3 linked regions of the Lytechinus pictus genome follow. The main gene of each other region encodes a partner of the protein of the gene in region 3 in a complex. Links are inferred from orthologs where the notes say so. Each region holds a gene or a part of one and is shown on either strand. Other genes may lie near its edges.

Region 1 (8,133 bases), on a different chromosome or scaffold from region 3:
TCTGTACAAAAGGGAAATAAAAATATATAAATCAAAACCAATTTCAAGTATCACTCATACATTTTTATTAATTTAATTTGATCATCACAATTCTTGGATTAACCTCAAGATTTAATTCAGCTGAGTAGCCAAAGATTTTTATTTTTTTTTAAAGGACAAACAAGAGTCATTATTCAATTCAATACCATAATTTTTTTTTACCAAAACTTGAAATAGGCTTAAACAACAGATCATTGTAGATGCACCCTGTCAAGTGCTAGGATGCTGTCAATTCAGCAATTTGGGGACTGGGTGATATTACTTTCTATAACAGAGATTAAGTGCAGGGATCAGAAATATAGCAATATCTTGTTGAAAACTGAGTTTACTGTGTAGAAAAATACAACATTTAACTAAAATTGTAGCTTTTTTGGTCTCTGAGGTTGCTTCAGCTATAATAAACTAAAGTATGTTTGCACTTTAATATAACTAAAGATATTACTACTCCAGCTTTAGTTCAATTAATCATCATCAATATGATTTGTCCATTCAATGAATAAATTCTACCAGCAGAACCATCCAAATGTGTACATCACCTGGGTCATGTGGACAAATTTCTTGAAGGAAATTACCATCCTGGAGTGGGTGTACACTTGCAACCCTTAGATTGAAAGTCAAAAGTCTGAACCACTAGACGATGTGGCTACAATAATTTGGTTGAACTGTAGGAAGTAATGCAACTTAGCTCCACTTGGTGTTCAATCTTTCTTCCAACAACGTCTTTAAATATCTTCTTCTGATATTCTCATACAAAGAAATTCCATAAGCTAACTTCAGCGGCTAGGTATTAGCCATCACAGAAGAAGCATAAATGGGATTGTATTCTTAATTATCATTTCATTGTTTGTTGTGTTGTAGATCCTTGTTGTAATGGCTTTTGTTCTTGTTGACCAGTTCTCATTTGTGAAGCCATTTGTTGATGTTGTTGCTGCTGATGTTGTGAAGCATGTTGCTGCTGTTGTTGCTGCTGATGAGGATGTTGCTGAGGTGGCAAGGGCGCTTGCATGATCCCTGCTGGCTGATTTGAAGTCCCACTTGTTGCCACTCCGCCGGCAGCTCCTGGGACTCCTTGTTGCTGCTGTTGCTGGGTGAGTTGTTGATGTTGCTGCATGTTCTCTAGATGAGACTGTTGTAGTCTCATACGCCTCCGAGTGTAGTGTTGCCAATGCAGAAGCTGCTGATCCTCAATAAACTTGACACACTGTGCATTGGCTAATTCTCTCCTAAAGTGTTCATACTGCAACAGCTCCAAGAAATGAAGACATTGTGGAAATCTAATACCAAAACAAGTAACAAATGGATCACTTTAAAAAAATCAATCAATCAAGTATTACATACACATTTAAAGGGGAAGTTCGCCCTGAAGAAAAGTTTGTTGTAAAAACAGCAGAAAAAATAATAAAAAATATTGGTGAAGGTTTGAGGATTAAAGATAAAGAAAGTTATTAGAATTCAAAGTTTTGGATTTGTGACTTCATATGCGTGCAGCATTTCTACATAGCGAATGGTAAAAAATCAATGAATTTCAAATTTTTTATGGTTCCTGATGACTTTATTTTGTTTTCTATTTATGATTGGGTGTGAAATGATTTGTCTATTGATATACAAAAGGCTCAGTAAAACCATTTTCAATTTTCTGAGAAAATGACATTTCATTGATTTTTTACCATTCGCTATGTAGGAATGCTGCTCGCATATGACGTCACAAATCCAAAACTTTGAATTCTAATAACTTTCTTAATCTTTGATGGATTATCTTCAAACCTTCACCAATATTTTTTATTACTTTTTCTGCTATTTTTACAATAAACTTTTCTTCAGGGTGAACTTCCCCTTTAAGTCTTCAAAATTCAATCTCTAATGTGTTGGTATTTACTTAAGACCAGATAACGCAAAAACATGTGCTATTTAGTACCTCTGCTATTTCGAACAGGGACTGATTCCTGTAGTCCTTTAGAGATTTGACTTTAGACACGCTCACCAGTATACATGTGTATATCTTTCTAGCACCACTTAATTTTAGCAAATTCAATTTTATTGACTCATTTTGATGCACAAGACTTTCAAACAAGCCTGGAAATTATATGTAAATAGTAGTTACTAAGCTAATGTCTGTATACTGAATTCAGTTCTAATTTGATCTCTGGTATAAAGTAATATTTCAAATATGTATAGCCAATCATGACACAAATCTCTCTTAAACAGATTCAATTTGTCAGCTTATTTCACACTCAGGCCATTCAGACCTGTCTGGGAATAATTACTAAAGGTTTCCTTCATCATTAATCATAAAGAAAGAACTCTGAAATATACTCAAGGATCACTTTTTTATCATTCTAATAATATGACAAACAACACATTTAGGATTTTATGTTGTGAAAACCTCTATTACGTATCCTCTCATAAAAAGAACACCTAATCTTGTGATAGACTACATGTAGATATGTATTAAAGTCATGGGGAAACTGTATGTGTGTGACATTACATAGCATTAGTGATCTCAATATTCAAATGCTCATAACTTTCTTATCATTCATTCAAACTTCCTCAAGCTTTCTGTTTCTATTTCTTAGAGTTTTCTCTTTTCTATGAATTCAACTGGTTTCAAGGGTTTCATTCTCTTGAAGGAATAGCACCATATATTGTGCTGGAAAAAGTATCAATTCTACAGTAGATTTTCCAAATCATATTCAATGAGTAATGGTATAAGCATACTTCTATGGGTTAAAAAAAAAAGAAAACAAAGAAAGTTGATTTGAATAAGTCTTAAATGGATTACAATCAAACTCTGATTCTTACTTGAGATATTTGGCATACTTAGGCTCCTTCCAATATTGAAGATACTGAAGATAGTTAACAAACTTTTTATCTTTGAAGTAACCTCTCTGGGCAAGAACTGTAAAATGAAAGAAAAATATCAGAATAATAATTGAAGATAAGGGATGTACCACAACGTATAAAGATTTATAACAAGTATTCTATGAACAATTGTGAGAATTCCTATCTCTTTCATTGCATATACTATTAACACAATATCAAAAGGATTTTTTTTGTTTTGTACCGTCCCAAAACAACATGGTTCAATAAAATATGAAGAGATTGTAAGGATTTTTTAAGTGTAAGCCAGTATTCTGAATTTGAAGAACATTTCAGGAACTGCATTAAGAGAGTAGAGGTATCTACTATTCATACTTACAGTTAAGATAGTGAGGGTTGGCTAGGCACTGAACAAACTCCAATTCCACTTCAAATCGGATCTGCTCTTGGTCTTGTGGAGGTTCCATTCCTTTATAAGACAAATATACAAAATAAGAATAAAGATGAAGCTGATTAGAAAATACACTTAATGTACATCTACTTTTATGATACTTAAAATTGATTTTCATTTGGCGTTACAGCTAAAAAAATCTCAAAATATATAAAAAAATTTACTTTCTTTTGACGTTATTATAGCAATATACTCTTTTATGTTGACACTTGACAGTCCTCCTTTGTCTTTTTTCTCCTTGTTCTACAAATACATTAAACTATCTAATGTACACTTGTACAGTATTGTAATGCAAGTACAGTGACTCAATAAAAATGGAGTAACTCTCACGCATATATATTATGCACTTTTGTATGTGTGTGTGAATTGTTTGCAGACATCTGCCGCCCTTTATATGCGTCTCGTAGCTTAGCTACCAACAAAGAGGACAAGATGGCCACGTAAACATCGGTAAGTTTGATCTCATCTTCTCATTATAATTTTTTTTTTTTTTTAATGTTTTAAAATATAATAAATATTGTATAAATGTCGGAATGAAAGGAGGAGAGCTAGAATGAAAAAAAAAGAAAATAATGGAAGGAGAGAAAGAACGAAAAGAAAAAGGAGAGGAAGGGAGAAAAGGAAGCAAAAAAATAAGGAAAGAAAGAATGAAGGAAATTTAAAAAGGAACAAGAAGGAAAGTAAGAGAAAGAAGGAAAGAAAAAATTAAGAGAGAGAAAGGATCAGCCTGGAAAGAAAAATAGTAAATAAAGATAGAAATTAGAATAAAAAAGGGCAAGCAGGAAGGATAGAAGAAAGAAGGATAAAAAAGAAAGAAAGAGGAAAAAATTCAAACTTCAAGCAACAAAAATCCAATCATCTAACAAAAATCATATTTGGTGTTTTTTAATACATTCTTACAATTTTTAAGAAATAAAATGTTTTAGAAATGAATAAGATTTAAAAGTGAAACATTGTCAAACTTAAAAATTAGATGAAATAACGGTGGCATCATACACAGGCATCTCCCATCTCATTACAAGTTCGCACCGATCACAACAAGACTCAAAATGAAAGCTGAAACAACTAGATCTAGTTATTTGTTGTTCCTCCCGATTCTCAAAATTTCCCGCTAAATTTGTAATTATTTTGGTGGAGAAACTGTTTATCAGGTGATAAATAATTTGGAGGGAGAAGACGTGTTTTTGCTTTGCTCTGAATATTGTCAACAAATACTTGGAAATACTTTGAAATGACTGCTTCATTTTACATTGTGTGAAAGCTAATTGGACACCAAAGCCAGTGATGTGATTTTTATTGTTTGACTTTTGAAAACTGCGACGTTATCGTCGGTAAGAACATTAATTTTCGTCAATTTTAATATTCAATCTTGTTTGAAAATCAACATCACGCGCGAGATACTAACGCGCATCACTAAGACGCATATGACTTTACGCTAAAAGGCATCTTTGAAGCGCAACATCCATCTCCATCCATCTCATCCAAATCAGGTCGGGTCAGTGTGACGTCATCGATAAACAGAGTATGCCAGGACCTAAGAAAAATCAGTCCATAACGTTCGAAGATTTCATTGAAATCAAGTCTGAACTTCAAAAACTAAACAAAACACTAACATCACAACTCAATGAAATTAAATCTGGTCAAGATGAACTTCGAAAATCTGCTGAGTTCTTCAGCGATAAAGTGGATGAGCTCACCTGCGAGGTGAAAAGGCTGAGTAGTGAGAATGCTTCTATGAAGAAAGAAAATGAGGATCTGAAAGCAAAGATGACGACACTTGAACACCAAGTGAATGATTTGGATCAATATCACAGAAGGATCAACTTAGAAGTGGCAGGTGTTCCTGAGAAGGAAGGTGAGAATGTGAGGGAGGCTGTCCTTCACGTCATGAAGAAAATTTCACCAGAGGTATCCAACGACGACATTGATGTGACACATCGACTTGGTCAGAGAAGAGAAGGTGGTCCAGCCAGACCAATCATCGTTAGATTCACGACCAGAAGGATGAGGGATACTCTATACTCAGGCCGGAAAAAACTGAGGGAAACATCAACCCGTCAACTGGGATTCTCAAGAGATGAAGGAAAGGTGTTTCTCAACGAAAATCTAGCCCCAGCTAAGAAGTCTCTCCTGAAGAAGGCAAATGACGAGAGAAAGAAGGCGGGATACATGTTCTTATGGACAGTGAATGGCACCATTCTGGTGAGGAAGAGCCCGAATGTTCCACCGGTTGCAATTCATCGAGAAGAGGATCTGAACAAAATTAAGTAAAACTCTCTTACGCATATATGTTTATATTATACTGGTGTTTTATGTAAATAATGATTGACTTTGATATGATTACGAACATTTCCAATGATTCCAATGATGTTATTAATGATATTGGAGCTAACAATGATGAACTTAAAATTGATTTAGATCCAAATGATGGGGCTTCGAGTGTCATATCCTCAAACTACTACACTCAGGCTTCAGCCAAAAACATTTTCAAAGGTTTACCTTCTTCCTGCTTGTCTATTTTGCATCTAAATATCAGAAGCCTTAACAAGAATTTTGAACAATTTCGTTTATTTTTAGATAACTCAGGTGTTCCCCAAAATACAGTAATAGGTTTAACTGAGACATGGCTGTCAGATAAATATATTAATATGAATGCACTCCCAGGTTATGATATACTTACAAATAATCGTGTTGATAAAATTGGTGGTGGTGTTGCAATTTTTGTGCCGAGTCAATTTGAGTATGTTATTATTGAAGACATGAATTTAATGAATGAAACTGCAGAAACTTTATTTATTGAAATTAGTGATCGTGATAACAGAAAAACTGTATTGGGAGTTGTTTATAAGCCTCCTCGCAGCAATAGTGCTGATTTTCTAGACACTTTAAATAATTTACTACATTATCATTCTGTTCAAAACAAAAGATGTATCATAATGGGAGACTTTAACTATGACCTGTTAGCGAGTGATACTAATATTTTTGCAAATGACTTTTTAGAGACATTCCTTTCTGCCTCCTTTTTGCCACTTATTTCTCGACCCACTAGAATCACTAATACTTCCGCAACTCTGATTGACAATTTTTTCTCCAATATACGTTCAGAATTTAAAGCTGGTATAATTATTTCAGACATGTCTGATCATTTCCCAATTTTCATGTATTGTTCTAATCAATATCAGCCAAACAAACTTCCCGATTACGTATCTAAGAGGCGTGTGTATAGTGATATAAATATATCTCGTTTGAAACAGAGTTTAGAAGAAGAATCTTGGGATGATGTATTTAGTACAGAATGTGTTGACAAGTCCTACGAAACATTTATTGATATCTTCATGAGTCATGTTAATGAAAATATTCCTTTTGCAAAGCCCAAGTCCAAAAATTATAAAAGATCACCCAGACTACCTTGGATAACAAATTCAATTCTTCGTTCGATAAATAGAAAAAATCGATTATACTATAAATATATATCAAGATTAACTGAGAATACTCGGAGCCAATATACTAATTATAAGAATACACTTACAGGGGTCATCCGTACTGCTAAAAAGGCATATTACCATGATCAATTTAATCAATGCAAGAATGATCTTAAAAAAACATGGAAATTGATCAATTCTACCATCAATAATGGACCAAAGTTTTCAAAGATAACTAAGCTTATGCATAATGATTCTATTATTGAAGATAAAGTTCAGATGGCAAATATTTTCAACAATTACTTTTCACAAGTTGGATTTAAGCTCTCTAGAAGTATACCAACAAACTCCCATTCATTTCATCAATATCTGGGGGATAGAAATCAAAGTTCTATGTTTTTCTCTCCTACGAACGCACAGGAGATAATTAAAATTATATCTAGCCTAAAATCAAATAAAAGTGCAGGATTTGATAACATTGATAACAACCTTTTACTAAAAACTATGAATTATATAATTGACCCTCTTATTTATATATTCAATTTGTCATTATCATCGGGAAATATTCCAAAATCAATGAAAATTTCTAAGATAATACCAGTCTTCAAAAAAGGTGATAGTTCTTTAGCAAGTAATTACAGACCGATTTCATTGCTTACAAACTTATCTAAAATTCTTGAAAAATTGGTTCACATACGAACCATATGTTTTTTTAAAAAGCACAACATCCTATCCGATACTCAATTTGGTTTCCGGGAAAAGAGTAGCACTTCCCACGCAATACTTTCTTTGGTTCAAACAGTTGCCAAAGCTTATGACAAGTCTTCGAATACGATTGGTTTGTTTTTAGATTTTTCAAAAGCATTCGATACAGTTGATCATAACATTCTCCTTTATAAACTTTCTCATTATGGAATAAGAGGGGAACCACTAAAGTGGTTCAAGAATTATCTAACCGGGCGTTCACAGTTCGTTTCACTTGATTGTAATATTTCTGAACGTAAACCTGTCCTTTGTGGAGTTCCACAGGGCAGCATTCTTGGCCCACTTTTGTTCATTACTTATATAAATGATATTGATATGTCATCTAGATTGCTCCAATTTATACTTTTCGCTGATGACTCTAATATATTTCTGTCGCACCCCGACCCAGAGCAATTGACGCAAATATTCAATGACGAACTAAAAAATGTGTCTAATTGGATAACAGCTAACAAACTCTCTCTTAACCTAGAAACAAGTGGAATGCCTCTGGCCGTCTCACCTGCATCACGCGATTCAATATAGCAGCAGTGCTGATTTTGAAAACTACTATAACTCGCGCAAGATGTTCAGTGATACTTGGTTACTCGTATTTCCACGTTTTATGAACTAGACCAATACACTTATAGAGATATGATGGCA
Region 2 (7,702 bases), on a different chromosome or scaffold from region 3:
AGCATGAGTAAATTGACTCCCTACAAGTGTTACCTTCCAACCTGTGACACAGCAGAAGGGGATAGTGCCATCGCAGGTGCAGTGTTTCTGCAGAAGCCAAAAGCCAATGCCATCCTTAGACCAGTCCGTTGCCAGGCAGGTCGGCTTGCTGGGGTCAAATATCCTCACGCCATCTTCGATCTCGCCGGCAATAACAGCCTTGGAGTCTTCAAAGGCACGCTGGAGGGCAGTAGTCCACACGAATGGCGTACTGGGCTTCAGGAGCTGACGAAATGGTAACATCTTCTCTGTCATGCTGAAGGCATACGATACTTGGTTGACAAGCCCAAACCATGACCGCACATCAGTGATATTAGACGGTGCTGGAAAATCAAGGATCGCCTGCAGGTATTTCTGGCATGGCCGGACACTGTCAGTAGTGATTTCAAATCCTGCGAATTCGACAACATCTGCGCCAAGTGTGAATTTGGCAGGGTTGAGGATGATCCCTTTCCTACCACAGATGTCTAGCCATTCGACTGCTTGGAAGAAGCTGTCAGCTAATGTGTCCGCCCAGAGTAAGACGTCATCAACACACTTTGTCTTGTATGGGATGGCTGATACAATCTCGTCGTATCGCCTGGTGTAGCCGTAACCAGAAGCGATGTATCCCTGAGGCGCGGTTTTGTAGCGGTATCTACCCCAGGGTGTGATGAATGTTGTGAGATGGCGATCTTCCTGGCAGATGGGTACACTGTGGTAGCCATTCCAAGCATCACAGACAGTCTTCTTCTTGCCGTGTGGAACTGACCTCGCTTGGAGAAAAGGGGATTGAGTGTGGTGTGCCTCGCGGGTTGCATGAGCATTGAGGGCCTGGAAGTCGACAGTCCTTCTCGGTTTGCCATTCTTCTTGGCACACACAACCATCCTATGGCACCAAGTGACAGGCTCACCAACAGGTACAGGTTCAAGCACACCCAGCTGAACATCGTGATCTAACCCTGCCTTGACTGCATCCCGCCAGTGGAGTGGTACAGGCACGGGGGTGTGATGTGCGATAGGCTCTGCATCGGGGTCCACCATCAGTTTAATGGGAGGGCCATCCATCAGGGGCAGTGGTTGGTGTTCGCAAGTGTTGAACGTACTACTCTTGTAATAATCAAGGAGGTACTGCTGGAGCTTGGCACGGTTGTCCTCAGTTGCCGGGAAAGGTAGTGAGGTGGGAGGCGGTGGGGGCAATCTACGTTGAGGGCAGTGGCAGGCACGTCTTGTATGAGGCCCCTCAAGGACTGCAGCCGCGTCCGACAGGGGCGGGTCTCGTGTCGCACCCAGTTGTGGGAAACTATCTGAGATGATTCCAAGGCCAACACAGGCTTCCCGGCTGAGGAAGAGCTGATCAGAACTGTCTGTGACGTAGGTAAGCTGTCTCGTCCAGACGGTACGGCCTTGGGCACCCGTGCCAGACAGACACAATGGAATGGCCCCAAGAATCCTGACGCCCCCTTTAGTGGCAGTCCGCATCTTCATACTAACAGGGATGAGGTCCCGTTGACGTAATCCAAGGCGGCGAACTATCTTCATGCCGGCCAAGCAGCTCTGCACCCAGTGTCAGCCATAGCAGGGGTAGATTGAGGCATCGTAGGGGAGGAGAGCCGAAATCCAAGAGCTTCATAGTCATCAGGGACAACCAGAGCAGTCACATCTACAAAGGGTTGCGGGGAAGACTTCCTTCTGATCCATGCTTGGTTAAGGCTATCATAAACGTGATGATCAAGGGGAATGCCATGGCCTCCGCAGGAGTGATCATAGCCATGAACAGAGCAAAAGGAGTCAAATAGAGCATTCTCCTGTTCCTCAGGGGTCACCGGAGGGAGACGTTTTGGTTTGTCCCTGCTTCGGCATACGTTCTCCATGTGATGGAATCTATCACAGTGCCTGCATTTGTGTCCATAGGCATCACATTGTGTCTTACGGACGTGAGCAGGGGCACCCCGTCCATGTCCCTTCTTGCCACAGTAGTTACACAAGTCTTGGCCTTCCTTGAGGTGCATTTGCTTAATTGGTTTTCCGATATGAGCTGCTAGCGGAGTTTACGACGTGAGAGTCCAGGAGGGATGAAGCAGAACGCTTGCCAGCCTCCTTCGCCTCGATGAACTGGAAGACATCTTCTAACCCAGGACCAAAATCCAGCTGAAACCAATTAGAGCAAAACCAATTGAAACCAGTTGGCCAACTGGTTTCAATAGGGAAATTGGAACAACTGGAACCAATTGAAACCAGTTGCCAACTGGTTCCAGTTAAAACCAATTGGGCAACTGGAACCAGTTGGCAATTGGTTTCAATTGGTTCCAGTTGAAACCAATTAAGCAACCAGTTGGCAACTGGTTTCAATTGGTTCCAGTTGTTCCAATTTCCCTATTAAAACCAGTTGAATCCAATTGGAGGTAACTGGTTTCAATTGGTTCCAGTTGAAACCAATTGGAGGCAACTGGAACCAGTTGAAACTAATTGGTTTCCAACTGAATCCAATTGGAACTTCCAGTTGGAATGACTTAATTAGTTACAAATTAATTAGATTTTGCACTAACTATTGCTCATGCCAACAAAGAAGCAGTGCTCTATGTCTATAATACCATTGTTAAGTGCATTGATAAAATAGACTTTCATAATGTATGTATATAACAAGAAAGATCTTCAAATATATGTATTTGTATTTGATGTAATTTGGTAACAGTTAGTGATGTACTAATTATCTTATAATCTGTTTTAATTATAATATATAACATTTATGAACATGGTTTTCACTGCTAAGCATTCTAAACACTTATCTGAAACAAGTATGGTACTTGAAATAGAAAAGAATTAAATATATACATTTTAAATGATGATGAATCACATAAAACATTAATCTGTGCACACTGGCAGATAATATGCAAATTAACTGGTTTCATTGGAACCAGTTGGGTAACTGGAAAATTTCCAATTGGAAACCAATTGGAAGTCATTTCCACTGAGTTACCCAACTGGATCCAGTTAGGATTTCCAGTTACCCAACTGGTTCCAGTTAGGATTTCCAGTTACCCAACTGGTTCCAGTTAGAAATCATTTCCAGTTGGAAGTCATTTCCAGTTACCCAACTGGTTCCAGTTAGGATTTCCAGTTACCCAACTGGTTCCAGTTAGAAATCATTTCCCGTTGGAAGTCATTTCCAGTTACCCAACTGGTTCCAGTTAGGATTTCCAGTTGCCCAACGGGTTCCAGTTAGGATTTCCAGTTGCCCAACTGGTTTCAATTGGAAATTGTTATATTCCAGTTAAAACCAATTGAAACCAATTGAAACCAATTGAAACCAGTTGGAAATCCAACTGGTTTCAATTGGATTTTGGTCCTGGGAAGTCCATGGTCTGGTTCTTGTCCCCCAAGAGGTCGAGCTGATCGAATCTCGGGGTCAGCGATTCCCCTGGTCAGGGCATCCCGCAGTATCTCATCAGTGTAGTTGACATCCATAGAGCAACCAGGGCACTTAATGATGAACTTACAGATCCCTGCTTGACCACGTAAGCGGGCCCGAAGCTGCGGACTGTACTCATCCCGGTCCTGGCGCATGTTATGTAGCGCCACTCGAGCTACCATGGTGTTTTCCTCACGCACAGCGAGCCTCTTGATTGCCGCCAGCACCTCTGCTTCAGACTTGGTGGTGAGGCTGACGCCAGAGGATCTTGTATAAGGTCCTTGCGAAGAGGCTCATCGCAGCATTCAAGGAGTTGCACGACCTTGTCCTTAATTGCCAGATATCTTGGTAGACTCCACATAATCGGACCATCGAGAAGTGAAGTAAGCCCAGTCCTCGCTTGTACCGGCTGCAACTATGGTGGGCCTCTTGACCTTCTCTATCTTGGCAGCAGACCCTGTCCCAGCAGAGGCATGAATTGTGGAGTGGGTCGTGAGCAGGGCAGCAACAATAGAGGCATCCAGATCCGGCGTGGCGTAGTCGCAGCCTGGAATTGGGCAGCATACGGTAGGCATGGTGGTAGCTAGGCAGGTTTGAACACAAAAGCTGTGAACATAAATGGGTTCTTGTACCGTTTGTCTTTATCCAGTAGATGCTGAATCAGCAATGTTCACAGCTGTGGAAAGAGCAGAACAGTAAAGTTAGAAGTATAGGTTTTAGAATCCTCTAGTGGATGCAAAAAGAAAATAAGGAAAAAAGAAAATTAGAGGAGGAGTACATTACAATTCTATTTTTTGATATATGATTTATGTTTGTTCTTTTTTTTCATTATTATTATTGTTGTTGTTTTTTTTTTTTTTTTTTTGTTCTTCGGGGTGCATTGCGAATATTGAAAGAAATCAGAAAAACAATAAAAACTGCCTTGAACAAACAAAAAACGCGTCACTCTCAAGCGCCATCTACGTTGATGAATATTGAGTTGGTTGCAGCAGCCTGAATTTTGCAGTTTTGCCTAAAAGTGAATCAAAATTTGCGAACCTTTCAAATCAAGTGTTCCTTTTACAAATTAATGAGAAGCATTGGATACTGGGAAGATGGAGCTTGCATTTGTTGCTGACTGGCCGAAAACGGACGCTAATGTTTGGTGAGAGAACTTGTTCAATGTGTCCCATACGTTCATATTTGTGTCAGTGAATTAGATATTGAACATGTTATTGTTAATGTCATTTCTGTGACCCATACGTTCATATTTGTGTCAGTGAATTAGATATTGAACATGTTATTGTTAATGTTATGTTATGTTATGTTATGTTATACCTAGCCAGGCGGCTTCTAGAGAGTAAAAATCATTTACTAACGTAAGGTCACTCTCATGAAGCCAGGGCTTCCGTCATATACTTTTGTGTGTACCACCAAAAAACCTGAAACTTTCGCCCCCGAGATTTCTACTTTCTTTTTAAAAGATCTAGCCCTAAAATCTAAATCATGTACATGGGATAAAACTTTATTTCCGACATTTCTACGCTCTCGTTGTTATTTTTTAACAAGAATTCATCAAAAAAATGAGAGAAATATTGTGTAAAGACGAAAGAGACTTGCCCGATGTTTACGCCGCCATCTTGTTTTCTATTGTTCTTCCCCAACGTTACCCGAACGCACGCGTCTGTAACGTTGGCGAAAGTAAAGAAAGTAGAAATCTCGGGGGCGAAAGTTTCAGGTTTTTTGGTGGTACACACAAAAGTATATGACGGAAGCCCTGGCTTCATGAGAGTGACCTTACGTTAGTAAATGATTTCTACTCTCTAGAAGCCGCCTGGCTAGTTATACCGAGGTTGTTTTACCTGACTGCTAAGAAAGCACGAATGCCTATGTTAAAAGTAACTTCAGATTTGCCAACATTTAGCTATCACAGCCGGTTTGAAAGTACGACACTCTCGTATCTGTCACCGTGTTAAATTGGTGAGATCAATAACATAATTTCGACAAAACACTCAAACTTTTTTAAAAATAAGAATGGTAATAATGGTATGTAACTGTAAGGACTAGGCCTAAGGGAAATAAGTTTTAATTTTTTATGCCAGACGATTACATTTAAAACTATCACAGCTATCACAGCCGGTTCGAGAGTACGACACTCTCGTATCTGTCACCGTGTTAAATTGGTGAGATCAATAACATAATTTCGACAAACACTCAAACTTTTTTAAAAATAAGAATGGTATGTAACTGTAAGGACTAAGGAGTAAGGGAAATAAATTTTAATTTTTTATGCCAGACGATTACATTTAAAACTTACATCATGTGTCTTGACTCTTGAGTTTGACTTTGAGGTCCATTAATTTTACAGAGACGATCTTTTCACTCGTACATCCCAAAAAAGTCGCCATCTTGAAAATATTAAGTTTTGTGGGATCTTACTTCCGGGTTTTATTTTCTCCCTCATATCGTCGCTATTCGATGAAACATCAATTTTCTCTCTTTTCGAGCATGATTCCGAGTTCGAAAAGGTCTTTTGATGCTGAAAATATGAAATGGGTAAATGGATGAACAAAATTGTGTTTTAAAAGTGATTTTTTGTTTGCATAATTCATGAATATTATCAATTTTTGTTCGGCCTTTATCTTTTATTTCTCAGGTGACGTTTTCTTGATGCTGATGTATGAATTAGGGAAGGTTTTTTCTTTGGGCGATGGCCAAGCCTTGAAATAAGCACCTGAGAGCCGGGATCAATTTTTTTTTTTTAATTGCCCCCGGCTCACAGGCTTTTTACAGGAACCGGGGGCAATTTAGAAAAAATATATATAAAAGTGAACCACACCGCAAATTTGTTTATAGTAAGCGCAGCTCCTACAATTTTTTAATTAGTACATGAATAGCATGCTAAGTATTAGGCTTATTCAAACATTTAAGAAATCAGATTTAAATGTTTAAGTGTGTTTTGACACCCTCACTCCACATCCCCTTTACAACCACACACACATGGGCTTATTTATTTTTCATCTTTAATGAACCACGAACAATGAACCCCCCCCAAAAAAAAAAAAATATGAATAAAATGAAAATATAAAAAAGAGAGAGATGGAGAAAGAGAATTCAGATAAAAAAATAATAAATTTAGAAAAAAAATAATAATTTTTAAGGTTTTTTTCATGGTTAGAATCACGGGTGTGGGTGAGTGTGACTGTGAGGTGCACTTGGATTGCATATAAATTATGTTAAAGACATGAAGAAATTATATCAATATCTAACTCAGTCTATTCAAATTCCAGCACATAGCCACAGGCTATGTACATGTATTGTAGGTTCATGTACCTTAAGTTTTTCACAAGTTATTTGAAAACGCAGATCTCCACAGAAAATGCCTTTCATTCTGGGAGAGTCTAAATTCGGTGAAAATGTATTCATTAATAACTTAAATATTCATCACAATGAAGAAATCATAAAGTTTTTTGACAGTTTTCAAAAATTAACATGAAATCTAAACTGTATCTGAAACGGAAAATCACCATCACTTAGGCCATTACTGATAGAATTCTCACCCAGAGCTCTGGCAGAGAACATGAGCTCAAACTGGCTAGCTAACACCACACTCAAGTGCACAGCATCCTCCTCTTTTTTTTTTTAGATGGAGCCTTGTTTGATGATTTATTGTCTGATATTTACCTCTCTCCAAGAAAGAAATTAAAAAGCTACAATTCACAACTATAAGCTAAGTGATTTTGGATTATTAAGGCTCCGTTTTGACAAGCAAAGTCGGCGACTTTGAGGATAAAAGACTCGCACATCGTATGTGCTGTGAACAGGGATTTTAACGGATTTATCTCCTGTGCAATTGGAATTACTATATCGCAGAATTGTGATATCCCAACTGGAAATGTGTGCATTAGAAATTGCATATGGTGAAGTATGGAAAAACCGCTACCGGAAGCACGCGCGCACATGTATTACAGAAAAAAAAAGACGGACGTAGCTCACTTTTTATGGTACAGAAAAAAAGACGCACTTGGCAATTTAAACTGTGTTTATCGTAAATTGAAAGTTACTTGATTTTGGCTTTTAAGATATTTAAATTACATGTATGATATGGCTTCACTGCTCACTCACGGCGGGCGCAATTACCGGGAAAATATTTGCGCCCGGTCGTCAAAATTTTGATGATTTTGGGGCTTTATGGGCGCAATTGATGGCTTTATGAGCGCGAATTTGCACTCAGCGCCCGCTTATTTCAAGGCTTGGGGATGGTCATTTTCCGATTCAACAAATGTGTTGCAT
Region 3 (8,364 bases):
GAAAAAATGTATAAATAGTACTCGCCTGATCTTTTCTTGGGGTATTGAAGCCTTTTTGTCCAGAACTTGCTCAACTTTTGCGGCAAATTTTGTCGCCATAGGGTTGTGCACATTCTCGTTTAATACTGGTTATCACGTGACACGGCAATGTCGTTAGGCTGTTTGGCCTGTATTCAAGGCGTTCTATCCGTTATGATTTTATATTGAATGAAGCTAATTCCATCAGGTATAGGCCCCTATCAAGTCAAAATCGATACAGGGATCGAGAGGGGGGGGGGGTGGAGCCAAAAATTTCCCAGTCACATGGTATGAAAATAATATTTTTTATGATTGTCCACGATCATTAGGGCAAACCCGTGTGTGGCAGTACGGTAGCGTGATGAGTAAAAAAAATAAAAAATAAAAGAAAGAAAGAGGGCCAATGTAGGCATACATGGCGCGTGGGAATAAAGTTGCTTTATATGTTCCAAGCGAGTGAAGCAAGCGAGAAAAAAACTTTTCGTGCAAATCTAAATTTGAGATAGATATCTTAACTTACACTTTTCCTTTTCTTTTCATTAATTCCCTTAATTTCTTTTTTATCTTGGTTGTAGAACTTTCGGGGGCCCCTAGGCCTAACCCTTCCATCGTGTACCCCCAGTGCAATATCAGCAGGTGGGTCTCGATAACTCTGGATATTTAGCAATTAGACCTATTTATAGAAAAACATAACGTTAATGTTTTGACCCCTTCCCCCCAAAAAAAGGAAAAACAATTATAAACTAAGTTATATACATCCCCCTTTTCTCATTTCGCTTTTTATTTTCTCTATTCCCTCCTTATTTTTTTTTGGGGGGAGGGACCTTTTCGGGGGGCACCGCCCCTAGCTACGCGCCTACCAGATGAAGAGGCGAGCGAGCAAAACCTTTGTCACTTTTATTACAAATATCAATTTTGCAATAGATTTTGACATAACATTCGGAATTATTCTCGCATGCATTTTTCTTTCCTTTTGCTTTTTTATGGCCTTTTATTTCTCTTCCCTTTCTCTTTCTGTCTTTCTTTCTTTCTTTCTTTCTTTCTTTTCCTTCCTTCATTCCTTTTCTCTTATCCCGTTTTTTTTTGGTGAAATCCAAAGTAAAATTTGACAACTCCCAAAAAAGATTCTTACTAAAAAAAAAAAACCGGTCATTATATTGTCTTGCGTAAAGTTTGACAAGTTAAAAAAAAATGGTCACTCAAAATGAAAGTCATTTTGTCCGCGTAATATTCGGCAAGCCCCCCCCCCCCCCCACAAAAATAAGAAAAAAAAAAAAAAAAAGGTTTTAACTATAGCAATGATCGAAGGTCATTTTGTCTCGCGTAAAATTTGACAATTTTTTTATAAAGTTGTCACTAAAAAGAAGGTCATTTTTTCCACCATTGATTATATTTGGCAAGCCCCCAACCCCCACCCCCATAAAAAAAAGTTTGTCCCTAAAAGTGATGTATAGAAAGTCATATTGTTAATTTGTTCCCAGTAAAATTTTGAATTTGGCAATTAAAAAAAAAGGCAAAAAAGAGAAAAGAATATGAACGAAATATCCCCATTACAAATAATGCTGTACGTGATTCTCATGAGGGGGGGGGGGGGGCACCCCATAACTAGTATTAATAACATATTTAATTCCAAAATGTTTACTATAAATCTCAAAAGGGGGAACGGGCAGAAATGCTCACCCCCCCCCTCCCCCCCCCCGCCACTGATTCCAATCAATAATGACTTTTCTCTGCAATACTGATGCTTTGAAATCAAGATACTGAAGATTGATACGCTTAACATAAATTATGAACGTCTGACAAAAAGATATCCAACCGATCACCTGACCGATCAGCTGACCAGTACGCGTATCACTTCGGAGTTGATCACTCGTCGCAGCTGTGTGGAATGCTCACCGAAAATCAACAAAAAGGGCCTGAAATGTAAGTTTAACAATAATCGATTTTAATTTCAACTATTTTTACAACTAAATAAAGGTTTGCCGTCCGAATGAAAGGTATATCGGATAACTCTAACTTGTATTAAGGTGTACATTTACCAAAGTCTTGGGTTGGAAATCAGAACAGCATTGTCCAACCCATAATTTGGGTAATGTCGCCTATGAGGTCCATACATCTTAATGTTTGGACCTCATTGGTATGGTTGGAACTACCCCTTATCGACCACCTAATCTTCTAAGCATCATATCTGCGAAAATATTCATCAATTTTACCCAGTTTTCGTCTCATTTGTGCAGAAAATTGAGCAGATCAGATTCCCATGTTTCGCTCGGCGACTCCGATTCAATTTGCGTATATATCGACGATCAACGAATGCGACGATTTTCCATTTGCTCATTTGCACCCGTCTTTTGAAACCGACCACCCGCGGTACACTAAGTTTACGGCCGATTCTTGTCGCGGTGGCGAAATATTTTTACTCTTTCAAATCAGTTCTATGAGTGACGTCAACATGCTAAATGATCGCCTCACTACTTCCACTGCGAGCTCCGACGCATGATTCGACGATTGACGACGGATATTTGTTCTAAAGCCGTTTCCTATCGGATTTCTTGGTTTTTCAGCGGGTTTTGGGTTTGGTCAATACAATTTTGATTAATTCTACTAAATCTTTACTGTTTGTTGCTTCTTTTTTTCTCGTAAAATCGATTCTTACCGTTTCTATGGACACTGCGCCTACTCTCCCGCGCGTATCGTTTGTAATACGCAATAATTTTAACGCGCGCAAGGTGGTCGGTTTCAAAAGAGGTGGTCTTACCATACTAGGAGTGGCTATAATCAACTTCATACAAATGAGAACTTAACACAAATCTCACGCGAGAACGATCCGAGAGCTTTGCATTGCTTGAGCGCACAGATTAGACTTGCCCGCGAGCCGTTCCTTTCGTATTTTTGTGGATTTTGGCGGAGCAGTGGTGTAAATAAAAAATACGCGGCCCGGGTGGGGGGTGGACACTCATACAAAACAAGCAACTCGAATTTTCAATGCACGATTTTGAATGAATGGGACTAAGAAAGGAGTTGAACTTGAAAAAGTTTCATTTTTTATTTAAAGATAAAAAGTACAGACCACATACCGGTACCGTAAGGTACGTGAATCTATGTTACGCCTCAGTAATAAGAAATTACAAATTGTTGGAACTCACATGAACAAAAGTAAAAAGAATCTGGGCTGGAAAAGTCGGAAAACAAAGACGCTTTTCGCCACTGCACTGCCAGCGCCACCGTTGAACTTCGCCTCATAAACATACACAGAATTGAATTACTATAGCGCCATCTTCGTTGGATCCGAGCTCGGGCCGTTTGATCTTGTTAAATTATAATTAGAGGTGAGGTGAGAATTACAAAATTATACCATTTAATAACCCCTTTTGAATATCCTATTCATCATATTTTTTTTTCCAACTCATACATGTCATATGGCTATTTGTACTCTCGAAAATCCATATCCCGTTTTATTCCAGATGAGGTGGGAGTGGAGTGGCCCAATTTTACAGCCCCACACATGCTTTTTCATGTTGTTATAATTATCTAAGTTTTAACTCTTGGTCTTAAGTTATTCTAAGTTATCTAACGTTAGTTAGGTCCTGGCCACTCATCCTACGAACGAGGTTATAATAATGGCGCTGGCCTACTCTCACTAACTTTAGTGTCTCACTCACACGTATTGCGAGGTTAGTAAGTATACTAATTTATAATTACTATTTCTAACCTCGGCCTCGCACTGTCTGTGAACATGGTGAACATGTCTACGAAGTACGAGACTACGGCTACGCAAACCAAGCATGCCAAGAGTTGTCTGTTAACATAGCTTCATATAACGCGAATAATTGTTAGCCGAAACTAATTCCGCTAGATATCACCAGGGGCCTGTTGCATTGAAAGGGTCTTTCGTAGAACCATTCTACGTAAGAACGAGATATCGCTCAACTGTTTCACAAAGGCGATTTGGGCGATACAAAGAATGGTCCTTGGAAAGACACCTCCAGACCACTCACACATATTGCGAGATTCAATTCAATTCAATTCAATCATGGTTTATTTCGTATAAAAACAATACATGTTACACAGCCAGAAGGCTGAAGTTAGCATGTTTACAATAAAATGTTCACAAGTCATGGATAAAAGCAACAATTACAATTTAAACATGTACTGTAATGTACATAAATAATAAATAATTTTTAAAGAGCAAGTGTACATAAAAATTCATTAAATATAATAAAATAGAATGGTAAAGAAACTATGTAAATACAATATTAAAAGTGATGAATATTAGACAATTAAAAATTCAAATATCAATTGGATTGAAATGGAGACTAAAACAATGGCAAAGATTTAAGTTGACTTCAAGGGTATGAAAGTAGAAATTTATTTAGAATTTAGTAAATCAATGAAATAAGGTATTGCACTTTTTCTAAAACGATCTGTTTTGCATTTTATCTGAGCAAAGTTTGGAACACTTCTTAATGAGATTGAGATATTTTTTCTTTTTGGTAGCCAGTTGTTACAGTGAGGGTTTTTTAAAAGAGATTTAGCAAATTCCATACACAGTTTTTTTCGTCTTCTTTCAAGACATTCTAATCCACATTTTGTTAGTGCATCTTCATAGTCTATATAATCTGAGCCAAGAATTATTTTGCAAACTCTTTTTTTGTATTTTTTCTAAGTCTTTTACCTGTTTAGCAGTTAGTGCTCCGTTGAATACCGGTACACAATACTCCAATATTGGACGAATATATCCAATGTAAATTTGAACAAGGTCTGACATAGGGAGTTTATATTGTTTGACAAGTCTGAACATATACAATTTTTTGTTACACCTTTTTATAATATCTGAAATTTGTTTATCCCATTTTAAGTTTGACTGAATATAGACACCAAGTATTTTAACAGTTTCTGAATATTGCAGAGAAGTGTCACCAATATGCAATAGATTAGGTAATGGTGGATTTTTAGAAAAAGTAACTCTGATTACATTGCATTTATTCGGATTTAGTTTCATATGATTATCAGATGACCAGGTAACGAGTGCATTGAGATGACATTGTAATACAGAAGGAGTTTGTATTGAACGATTTTCAACTATAGTAAGATCGTCAACATATTTAAAGTGCGGTAAAGATTCATTCTGACATGCATCATTAAACATGATCAAAAATAATATCGGGCCTAATTTTGTGCCTTGAGGCACTCCAGCATGATTTTTAATATACGACGACAATACACCCTGATATTTAACAGATTGAAAACGATTTTCTAAAAAACTAACTATCCACTCAATTATGCAAGGTCTTACGTTAAATTCAATTAATTTTCGAATCAGAATATTATGGTCAAGTCTATCGAAGGCTTTGGAAAAGTCTGTGCAAACAATAGTGGATATTGATTTAGATTTTTCACAGTTGTCCAATACACAATGCAATAATTTTACCAAATAATGGGTAGTTGACAGACCTTGTCTGTTTCCGTATTGATGAATGTCAATATATTTAGAAATATCTTCCAATAACCATTTCGTAATGAATGATTCTGCAATTTTAGCGAATTGACATGTAAGAGATATAGGTCGAAGTTCTTTAATATTCGGTGGTTTTGACTTGGGAATGGGAACAACCTGACTTCGCTTCCACTGCCAAGGTACTAACCCTTGTTGAAATGATGTATTAAGGATATTGGCAAGAGGATGGCTTAGTTCACAAGCGAATTCACGAATTACACGAGGGGGTAAGTCATCTGTTACACCTGCTTTACTGCATTTTATTTTCTTTAGCATAGAATAAACCTGATAAGGTTGTACTTCTGGGCAAACACAAGGAGAAGGTAAAAAAGCTGGTAAGCAACTTCTATCCAACGGCGCCAAATCTGATGCTATATTAATTAAATGTTTATTAATGGTATCAGCAGTCTTCTCTTGACGATCTTTATCATTAGGTTCAACACCAGGTACAGCAATTACGTTAGATGTGTTGTTCTTTTTTGTAATAATCTTGATTTGTTTATACCAGTCTGCTGGATTTGTTGATTTAAGATGAGATACACGTGTGTTATAATAACGTTTTTTTGCACTTTTTATCATTCTATTTACTTTATTTCTGAGACTACGCCACAGAGGTTTGTTATTCTTCTCAAAAGCTTTTTCTCTTTCAATTATGATTGCTTTTATCTGTGGTGTCATCCAAGGTTTGTCATTATCCAAAGTTGCTGATGAGTTGCTATAATATGGAATGTGTGTACCAAGATATTTCAAATGTTTGATTTTTCCCTTCAATAATGAAACTTGTGTAAGTATACTGCAGCTAACATACACAGTTCCAGTGCAGGTAGAATAGTATACTAACATGTCCTACGTAGGCATGATCTTCTTTGCACACCGCCCGCCACCGTCGGCATTGAGAGAAAATGCGTTTACGGCAAGCCACACTGACATCACCTTTAAACATTTTTTGGTTTGTTTTTTTAGAGCAACACTCTAACCCACACGTGAGCAGCACGCTGGCCATTTGCAGTCTACTGCCCTGCCGGTGCAAACTTCAGAAGGTTCAAGAAGGTTCATTGATTCATTTTATCTGGGATGGTGCCAAGTTATTTTTTATTGGGGGCTAGTTGTCATCAATTTCAGGTCGTCTTTTTGCATGGCAAGACGACCGAAAACGGATGTCATTTTAACTTCTTCGGGGTATTATGTCCGGGGGTAATGTAGGCCCAAATATTTTTTTTGAATATGTTTTCTTTTATTCTCCCCTGTCCTATCCCCACACCATTTCCATTAATTTTTTTTTTGAAATATCGAAATGGGCGGCACTATCTCTCTGACCCCTCATGCTGTCTCTTTATCTATTAAACAACATGAAAATAAATTTCTTTAAAAGAAATTAGGGCCTATATAAGGTAAAAAACGTGTTTATAGCGTTCAGCAAAAAAAAACACGATACAAAACTAAAATGTTAATGGTAAATCATTTATTCATTTTTATTTCATTTCCATTATAATTATTATTTTTTTGCTGAGATTAATTTTAATCAATGAAAATTAATTGTCGGATTTGGGCTAACTTGGGATGTGAAACAGTGAAACAAAACAAAAAATCTGCAGTAACAAAATAGCTAATTGAATTTAAGACACAGATTAGGCCTATAGCTTACGAATCCATCGCAATCATTACAAATGAAGATAAGTTCATTAAAGAAAAGATTATGGAAAGTAGGGGAGACCGGGGTTAGTTGGAACATTTTGGACAAAAATGGCTGTAAAATCCAAATAGGCCTAGACTTTATTTGAGAAACAATCAATATATCAGCTTGAAGCATATATCTAAGGGCTTCAAATGTACCCCATAAAATTTTTAAATCTATGATGGTTACTGAAAAAAAATCCACCTTGAAAAAGACTATCGCAAGCGTTCCAACTTACCCTACATCGGGGTAAGTTGGAACATGGTATGGGGTAAGTTGGAACACTGCATGGTCAATTAAGAATTATACTTAAACTACTTACAACCGTAATATTACATGGTTTCAGCATATTTGCTTTATTTTTTTCAAGTTCAAAATATTAAAAGTGGATTTGTTGAACTTTATGTTTTCTATTATACAGCCACTCATGCCAGCCAACTGTGTAGTAGATTTCCGCTTATTTGTGTGCGTTTGATTTTACATGCAATTAAGTGTACTATCAGCAATTTCTTGTACTTCTGCATCAAAGTTACTTGACAAAAATTAACTGTTTATATTATTTATTAATTAATTATGCAAATAAGCATATGAAATTTGCCCTATTAAAATTTTGTATGTTTTTGCCTTTAAATCAATTCATTAAGCTAGTAGAATGCTAATTTTTGGTGAGAGTATCAATCTTTACCTTTATAACAAATATCCACAAAAACTTGCAAAAAATATAATTTTTTATGTATTTTTTATTTTTTAAACTTGTATTTCTTTGTTTTTTCGAACCTTTGTTTTTTCCGATGAACTTTGTCGGGGACTCTTTTGCGATCATTAATAGCATAAAATAAATCCATTTGAACCAACAAAAATAAAAATAGTCATACATTTATGATTTTTGATTGAAAAACACAATTTGCATTGACCTTGTACACGGAATCACATTTTTGAGCAATTTTGGGTCCGACCTGCACGTACAAAATGTTGCATAATTCCGAAAACAAGCACCCAGGCATCGCAAATTTGGGCTCGAAAGATGCGCAAGACTTGACAGTAAAAAGTCAGCAAGCGGTGCGGTCAAAAAATTTTGCGCGACGGCGTAGTGACCAAATTTGTCAAGTGGGGGCTTAAATTGACCCCCCCCAGTTTCATAAGGGTTTAAATATTGCATTAGGGGCCTACAATA

Evidence for each region. The genes of interacting proteins can lie anywhere in the genome.
Region 1: mediator of RNA polymerase II transcription subunit 23-like (region 3) and mediator of RNA polymerase II transcription subunit 31-like share a complex: the UniProt entries of both Drosophila melanogaster proteins name them as parts of the mediator complex. The link is inferred for Lytechinus pictus from reciprocal best matches to the Drosophila melanogaster genes MED23 and MED31.
Region 2: mediator of RNA polymerase II transcription subunit 23-like (region 3) and mediator of RNA polymerase II transcription subunit 16-like share a complex: the UniProt entries of both Drosophila melanogaster proteins name them as parts of the mediator complex. The link is inferred for Lytechinus pictus from reciprocal best matches to the Drosophila melanogaster genes MED23 and MED16.

The regions. Positions count from the first base shown.
Region 1 is NC_087246.1:17,367,003-17,375,135, reverse strand, and holds the start of mediator of RNA polymerase II transcription subunit 31-like, read right to left. Parts: upstream 3,332-8,133; 5' UTR 3,324-3,331; coding exon 3,236-3,323; intron 2,936-3,235; coding exon 2,839-2,935; intron 1,314-2,838; coding exon 872-1,313; 3' UTR 1-871. UniProt on the Drosophila melanogaster protein: Component of the Mediator complex, a coactivator involved in the regulated transcription of nearly all RNA polymerase II-dependent genes.
Region 2 is NC_087257.1:27,440,785-27,448,486, reverse strand, and holds the start of mediator of RNA polymerase II transcription subunit 16-like, read left to right. Parts: upstream 1-4,371; 5' UTR 4,372-4,524; coding exon 4,525-4,574; intron 4,575-7,702. UniProt on the Drosophila melanogaster protein: Component of the Mediator complex, a coactivator involved in the regulated transcription of nearly all RNA polymerase II-dependent genes.
Region 3 is NC_087261.1:120,647-129,010, reverse strand, and holds the start of mediator of RNA polymerase II transcription subunit 23-like, read right to left. Parts: upstream 3,260-8,364; 5' UTR 3,165-3,259; intron 1-3,164. UniProt on the Drosophila melanogaster protein: Component of the Mediator complex, a coactivator involved in the regulated transcription of nearly all RNA polymerase II-dependent genes.